Oryctolagus cuniculus: one gene and its partner. The protein of the gene in region 1 purifies or fractionates together with the protein of each later gene. This does not show direct contact. Links are inferred from orthologs where the notes say so. Each region holds a gene or a part of one and is shown on either strand. Other genes may lie near its edges.

The links.
Region 2: the proteins of ACAD9 (region 1) and TIMMDC1 purify together in Homo sapiens (affinity purification with mass spectrometry; 3 studies listed by BioGRID and IntAct, counting the BioPlex papers as one, with this or other methods). This does not show direct contact. The link is inferred for Oryctolagus cuniculus from reciprocal best matches to the Homo sapiens genes ACAD9 and TIMMDC1.

The regions. Positions count from the first base shown.
Region 1 is NC_091441.1:111,772,507-111,776,317, reverse strand, and holds part of ACAD9 (complex I assembly factor ACAD9, mitochondrial), read left to right. Parts: intron 1-312; coding exon 313-388; intron 389-1,574; coding exon 1,575-1,645; intron 1,646-2,277; coding exon 2,278-2,397; intron 2,398-3,562; coding exon 3,563-3,691; intron 3,692-3,811. UniProt on the Homo sapiens protein: As part of the MCIA complex, primarily participates in the assembly of the mitochondrial complex I and therefore plays a role in oxidative phosphorylation.
Region 2 is NC_091435.1:76,014,708-76,018,518, reverse strand, and holds part of TIMMDC1 (complex I assembly factor TIMMDC1, mitochondrial), read right to left. Parts: intron 2,369-3,811; coding exon 2,280-2,368; intron 1,798-2,279; coding exon 1,730-1,797; intron 281-1,729; coding exon of another isoform or gene 60-280; exon of another isoform or gene 1-59.

The DNA of each region.
Region 1 (3,811 bases):
GCCAGACTGAAGCCAGGAGGCTGGAACTTCATTTGCAATTCCCATGTGTGTTGAGGGGCCCAAGTACCTGGGCTGTCTTCTGCTGCTTTTCCAGGCACATTAGCAGGGAGTTGGGTTGAAAGTGGAATAATCAGAACTCGAATCAGCACCCTTGTAAGATGCCAGCATTGCAAGCAATGGCTTAACCTGTTGTTCTGCACCACCCCTTGTCTGATTATTTCTTGAGTTTAAATACCACCAGGGGAATTACTGGGGCATGGGTCTGTGACCTTTGTCTTCTTAAGTGCCCTTGAGCTTTCTGGATCTCTGCAGGTGGCCATGAACATCCTCAACAGCGGGCGGTTCAGCATGGGCAGCACAGTGGCCGGGATGCTCAAGAGGTTGATTGGTAGGTAAGTGGGGGCCAGGGGCCCTCTGCTGCCCCACTGCAGCCTGGGAGACGGCCATCCCCTCCCTACTGTGCCCCCGGGGGATTGGTGTCTCCTCTGGGAAGCTTTGATGCCCAGCACCCCTTCCCCTTTGGGTGGCTGAGCTGGGCCACCTGGCTGGGTGGTCAGCACTGGTGGAGCATCTGATCCGTGGTTCAGAGCAAAGAAGGTCCTCCCCAGGGCTTGTATCTCAGCGTTCCTGTTTCTCCTGCACACAAAGGGCAGGGGCGAGGGAGGACGTCCTGGCAGGGGCAGGGAGGGGCTGCTGCTGTGACCCTCCCAGGTTCCCGTCCCAGAGGTGACTGGCCTGGGATCCTCCCCTGTCCCTCAGCTTGGATCTCCCTTTGTTCTTTGCTATCAGCACATGGAAAACCTACATTTTCGTTTGCCCATGAACTTAAAACAGCCCATCACCATTCTCATGGGATTGACTGCACGGAGCAGGTTGCTTAGGAACTGCGTGTTCCTTAGTGCACCGTACCTCTCGGTCAGGACAAGATGGACGCACACAGGCTTAGTCTGGGGTTTTCCTGCATGAGGCCTCTGCTTCCCCATCTGATAGACCCCTTAGTGTCCGAGTTGGGGCTTTCATGGTCAGCGTGTTCTCCAAAGGAGGCAGAACCTCTGAGGAATTCCCACAGCCCAGAAGCGTGCTGATGCAGGGACTCATGCTGAGACCTCTGGGAGACTGGATCACGCCTGTGGGAGCATTTGGCAGCAGCGGGGGGGGTTGCAGAGCTCAACTATATGCCTTCAAGCCCAGGCCCTCCTGCCGTGCACGTGAGTACCCGTGCCACGCCTGGGCCACTCCACCTCTGTGTGGCACTGTTGGCCCTAACTTTGTGCGAGGCATCCCTCACCTTCCATCTGGTTTCATCTTGGCAGCAACTCAGTAAGCCGGGCAGTGTTCAGGGAGATGAGCGTTTCGGCCGCCTCCTGCCTGCTGAGGATGGTGCAGGATTCTAACCCAGGTCCCTGACCACGGCCTACTGTAAGAGGGCTCTAGTTGTTGGGGTATTGGTCTCAGCAGACACCTGTCTCCCAGTTGCTGCCTGAGTGTCAGAAGGGTAATGGTGATAGCCTATGAGACCATGCTGGCCAACCAGAGATATTCTGGTTCTTTGTAACAACTCTGCTCTTCTGCAGAAATGACCGCTGAATATGCCTGCACGAGGAAGCAGTTCAACAAGAATCTCAGTGAATTCGGATTAATTCAGGTACTCATGCTCACGAGTGCTGTGCTTCTTGACTTCACTTTGTAGACACGCAAAGTGTGCTGTCTGCCCTCCCTGCACCTGTGACTCCCATGCGGGGCGTGCAAAGATGGCTGAATAAGGTTTGATGATGAGGTCCCTTCCTTTTATTTAAGCATGGGTGTAGTTCACTCTCCCCCACCCCTTCTTGCTCTGTGGTTGTTTTTTTTTTTTTGGAAAGAGTTATGGAGAGAGAGGGAGAGACAGAGAGAGAGGAGAGAGAGAGACCTTTCATCCAATGGTTCACTACCTGAATGGTCCTGGCTGAGCCAGGCTGAAGCTGAGAGCCTAGAACTCCATCTGGGTCTCCCATGTGGGTTCAGGTGCCCAAGCACTAGAGCCACTTTCTGCTGCATTTCCAAGTACATCAGTAAGGGGCTGCATATGAAATGGAGCAGCCAGGATATGACCCTGCTCGCATAAGGGACACTGACATTGTAGGTGGCGTCTTAACCCACACCACAGCGCCAGCCTGGGGCACGGCTCTCCTGAGCGGTGAGCCCTCTGACGTAAAGGCCTGCTCGGCTGATAGGCAGATTGGATCTCAGCTAAGCAGATGACTTGATGGGTGTGTGTGTGTGTGTTTAATCCTCCAGGAAAAGTTTGCACTGATGGCTCAGAAGGCCTACGTGATGGAAAGTATGTCCTACCTCACCGCGGGGATGCTGGACCAGCCCGGCTTCCCCGACTGCTCCATCGAGGCCGCCATGGTGAAGGTAATCCCGGCGTGAGAGCCCGGGAGCCGGTGCAGGAGGGACTCAGAAAGGCTCCGTCGCCTTGGCCTCCAACCGCGGGGCTGCCTCCTGCCTCCCTCCCGCCTCCCTCCTCTTGTCGGTTCACGGGCCAGCTCCCAGCGGGCTCGTGTTTACGACGCACCCCGGGGACCGCACCCCAGGGGTAGGCAGGCCCTGGGGTCGCGCAGGGGAGAAGCAGCAAAGCACAGGCCCGGCCGTGCGTCGGTTTGCAGGCAGCACGGTGCTCCCCAGGGCGGCGCGGGGCAGCTTTTCCAGAGGTCAGTGCTCAGCAGCAAGAGGAGACGTAGCCAGCCATTGCTGGGACGTCACAGCAGGGCGTGGGGCAGCGGGCTCGCTGGGAGGGACCATCTGTTCCCCCTACTTCCTGGTCCTGGGCTTCCTCGTGTGGGGTATTTGCAGTGGGAGATCCTGGGGCTTTCTGTTGGTGTTCGTAGGCAGGGCTCAGTGTCAGGTGGAATAAGTAAGATGGCTGCCCCACTTGGTTGCCCTGAATCATTCCCGCACTGGGCTCCGACTTGGGCTTGAGAGACTGGGTGGGAGACGCCCAGTGCAGGGCTCGCCCGGGCGGGGCAGGGCCTTCTCCCTGGAGGTCACACGGTTCCTGGCGCTCAGTGAGTCCCCTGTGGGTGAGTCTGTGTGTTGGTTGTGCCTCAGCCATCACCAGCGCCCACCCACGGAGGCTGTGCCTCTTCTGGGTGCCAAGCCTGGAGCTGAATCCGGCAGTGTCTCCTCCCCCAGTCGCTCGCGGTGTGGAGGGACAGAAACAGGGCCTGGCTGCCGGTGCGAGTGCAGAGGACGAGTCCCGGGTGGTGGGGCTGGTGCGGCTGGGCTTGCTGCACGAGGTGGAACCTTTCTTCAGTGGGAACTGAAAAACAGGAGCTGACGCAGGCATGGAGGCGGGCCCAGAGGTGTGGAAGGCCAGGGCAGGGATGGGCACCGCAGGCCGGTGGTGGGGTTGAGGAAGGCTGAGGACTTCCGGTCATGCAGCCAGTTCCTCCCTGGGTCAGTGTCATCCCAAAGCCCAGTCCGTCTCAGCCACCGCGCTGCTCCTGGTGCCTTGGCCGCTCTGCTGGGAAGGGATTGGGCCCCGGTGCCCCTGTGCTGACCTCTCCCTGGGTCCCTGCAGGTGTTCAGCTCAGAGGCCGCCTGGCAGTGCATCAGCGAGGCCCTGCAGATCCTCGGGGGTTCGGGTTACATGAAGGACTACCCGTACGAGCGCATGCTGCGGGACTCCCGCATCCTGCTCATCTTTGAGGTGAGTGCCCGGCTGTGGCCCGCTGTGGACCCCTGCCGATGCCCTCCCCTCCCCTCCTGACCCTCCCTGTCCTGGGGATGCTGCTGAGACCCAGCAGGGCCCCGGCGCCCAGGCTAGCCT
Region 2 (3,811 bases), on another chromosome or scaffold:
TTCCAATCCCTATCCCCTGCTCTAGGTCCTGTCCTCACCATATATTCTTATTTTTATGTTCATTTAATAGAGATATATCTATTACAGGCAGAGAACTTGAAACGAAAACCCAGTTTCGGCCCTTGCACACAGGGGAACAAGGTCGTGAAAGGAGCGAGGCTTGGTGTGGTGCCGCCATTTCTTCCTTCCTCGGTCTCTGTGCCTCCCACAGAGCTTCCAGTAGCACCATGTTGGAACACAGCATCTGGAGGTTCACAACCTCTGAGGTCCGTAGGAGCCACTGTGAGGAGGGCCCAGGGAAGAATTTGCCATTTTCAGTGGGAAACAAGTGGAGGTTGCTAGCTATGATGACTTTGTATCTTGGATCTAGATTTACTGTACCTTTCTTCATAGTACAACACTAACTGCTTAAGAAATAAGCATGTTTTAGGTCCTCCATTTAACAGATAACAGCATTTCAAGAGGTGCAGTCTCTGAAAAATGGATCAGACTCTTGAACTCATAGCATACTAGATAAGTTTGTAAATAAAATTTCAACTTGAATGCTTAATGCCTCTTCTCATATATAGGGAATGTGATAATTGAGTGTGTGCCTACTTTATTATTTGGATAATATTCTAGTATTAGTTTCTTAATCAAGATGTGTATGATTTAGCTTGTTATATGACCTATTTATTTAATTTTTTATTTTTTGGATTAAGACATTGTTGAAATGTATGATATAACAGAAATGCAAAGTCAACTACTGTCTATAACTTTCTTTTAAACTTAAAGGGAGAGAAAAGATTTAAGAGCTTATATTTTTTCCAGGCCTATAACATTAAGCTGAAATTTTGGGTCTGATAATTGTACTGCTGATCAGTATTAGTCTTGTTCAGGCTGAATAAAAGAATATTTAAAATGGAAGCATATAGTGTAGGAAGTATTCCAAACAAATTTACTCTGGAGTTTAATTAGTAGCAAGGAGATAAAAGATAACAATTACATTATGCTTTAAAATCTTAAGGGCCTAGTTTGTAGGAGAAAGTATTTAGCAATTGAATATTTTAATGGTTTGGTTGCTACTGGAATATGAATAGACAAATAATATAAAGTAGATTGTAAACTGGTAGTCTCTCTGGCCTCCAGACTTTGGTGAGAAGATGCTGTATTGTTTTTAAATAACATATATATTTCTAGATTCTTGAACAAAAAAAAAAAGAAAAGAAAATCCAAACTCTTACTATGAAAAAAATCTGGCTTTTTTCTACCTCACCTAATAAATCTCATCCCAAACTAGGGTTCCTTGCCTACTATTTGAGCAGATTATCCTGCTTCGAGGAAATTTCTTGCCTTAGAGCCTTGCCCCTTGAGGTTTCTCCTGCTGAGGCCACTTTTCTTGGCAAAGCTTGCCCCTTCTCACTTCACTTCCTCAGAGAGGCCTTCTCTGAGCCCCTGTCCACGCCAGATCCCATTTCCCACCTATCTGTTACATTCTACCATAGAGACCTGCTTTTTCCCATTCACATTAGAGTTTAAAATTCAATGAAAGCAAGGATCTTTTCAGTTTTGTTCAGAAGTATACCAAAGGCCAAGCGTAATGCTTTTTCTTAAGTATATTTTCAAGAACACTGAATGAAATGGTAGGGAAGCCAATCAATGAATTCAGCAGTTCCGATTTATAATCCTTACATATTTTCTAAACCACATGTGGGACTGAAAAATGTAAGCAAGAACAAAGATGTCTTACCTCCTGCAATGACAAAATGGCTTAGGGCATTTTTATTTCGGTACACATTTAGACTAGTGTTCACTGTGCTGAAAAGGAGGAGGGAAAAAGAAAACATAAGATTTAAAGCATAGCCCATTTACCTTCTCAACTGCTATTTTCACTAAATGATAGCTTTAGAGGTTCCTGCTCTAACAGGTCCTAGGTCTAGGCCCCTTCAATGTGCTCCAGACAGCCAGTACAGCTCTGGGCTCACTAGGTGGCTCTCCTGCTGAAGAATGAACCAAACAACAATCGCATTTCAGGAACAAAGAATCACTTAGAAACAGAAACATAAAGAAGAGTTTGCAGATTTTCTCTTTCTTAGAAATATTATATCTATTTGATCTAATTGGCAGACCTGCAACGCAGAGGCAAAATTCTGACTGGGTCGTTTTCACAAGACCATCCTGGAGCACACAGATGGACAAAAGTCTTGAAAAAAAGGCATCATGTGGCTTTCCAGTTTTTATACTGCCTGCTGCTACTTCCTAACAACACCAAGACGCCTGACAGTCCAGGGAAAACTTACTTGAATATGGTCACGAACACCGCGGTTCTCCAGCTCCAGCGCCAGCCGTACCGTATGAAACCTCGCGTGGCAGCGCGGTGAGCACTTTGCTGAAGTTAACAAAGAAAAGCTGTCAGATGCCAAGAAACCTGACTACTTTCCTGTTTCAAAAACTACATTGGAGGGGGCTGGCGCTGTAGCACAGTGGGTTAAAGCTGAGGCCTGCGGCGCTGGCATCCCATATGGGCGTTGGTTCGAGTCCCGGCTATGTCGCTTCCAAGCTGTTATGGCCTGGGAAAGCAATAGAAGATGGCCTGAGTCCCTGGGCCCCTGCACCCACGTGGGAGACCCAGAAGAAGCTCCTGGCTCCAGATCGGTGCATCTCTGGCCATTGCGGTCATTTGAGAAGTGAACCAGCACATAGAAGACCTCTCTCTCTGTCTCTGGCTCTACCTCTCTGTAACTTTTTCAAATAAATAAATTCAAAAAAAAAAAAAAAAAAAAAAAGACAAACCCTACAGTGGAGGAAAGTCTAGGGACATCATTCTTTAGATACTGACACTTAAGGCAAAATCCAATGTGCATGCTACTCTATCAGGAGATGGAAAAGGAACTAAGGAGTATCAGTGTCAACCATGTAATTCGTCAATTAAGTATCTGCTAAGAATCTGTGGCAACCACCATGGGCAGATGCAAAATCAGTATCAGACATTTTCTTTACATGCAGGAAATATTAGGGAAAAAGTAAAGAACAACTACTAAGTAAATGCTAAATTAAAGGGCAGGAATTAAAGGATACAGATATGCAGGAAAAAAAGAACTAATATTTACTGACCACCTGCTATATGTTAATATATTATTTTCACTTAATCTTTACAACATGCTTTCCAGAAAGGGGATTTAGTATTAACTAAAGTTTAGGAAAAAGAATTTATATCTTTCCTAATTTTTTAAAGATTTATTTTATTTATTTGAAGGAGCTACAGAGAGAGGTAGAGACAGAGAGAGAGGTATTCCATCCACTGGTTCACTCCCCAGATGGCCACAGCGGCCAGAGCTGCCGCCGATCCAAAGCCAGGAGCCAGGAGTTTCTTCCAGGTCTTCCATGTGGGTGCAGGGGCCCAAGGACTTGGGCCATCTTGTACTGCTTTCCCAGGCTATAGCAGAGAGCTGGATTGGAAGAGGAGCAGCCGAGACTAGAATGGGATGCCAGAGCTTCAGGCCAGGGCTTTAACCCTCTGCTCCACAGCGCCAGCTCCTTCTTAATTTTTTTTTTTTTTTTTTTTTTAGGATTTATTTACTTATTTGAAAGGCAGAAGACAGAGAGAAAGGAAGACACAGAAAGAAAGAGATCTTCCATTTGATAGCTCACTCCTCAAATGTCTCCATGACTTTGGCTGGATCAAGCCAAAGCCAGAAGCCTAGAACTGCATCCAAGTCTCCCACATGGGTGGCAGGGACCCAACTATTTGGACTGTCATCTGTAGCCTTGCTAGGCACACTGGCAGGGAGCTGGTTCAGAAGAGATGCAGGAGTCAAGTAGTGGCTTAACC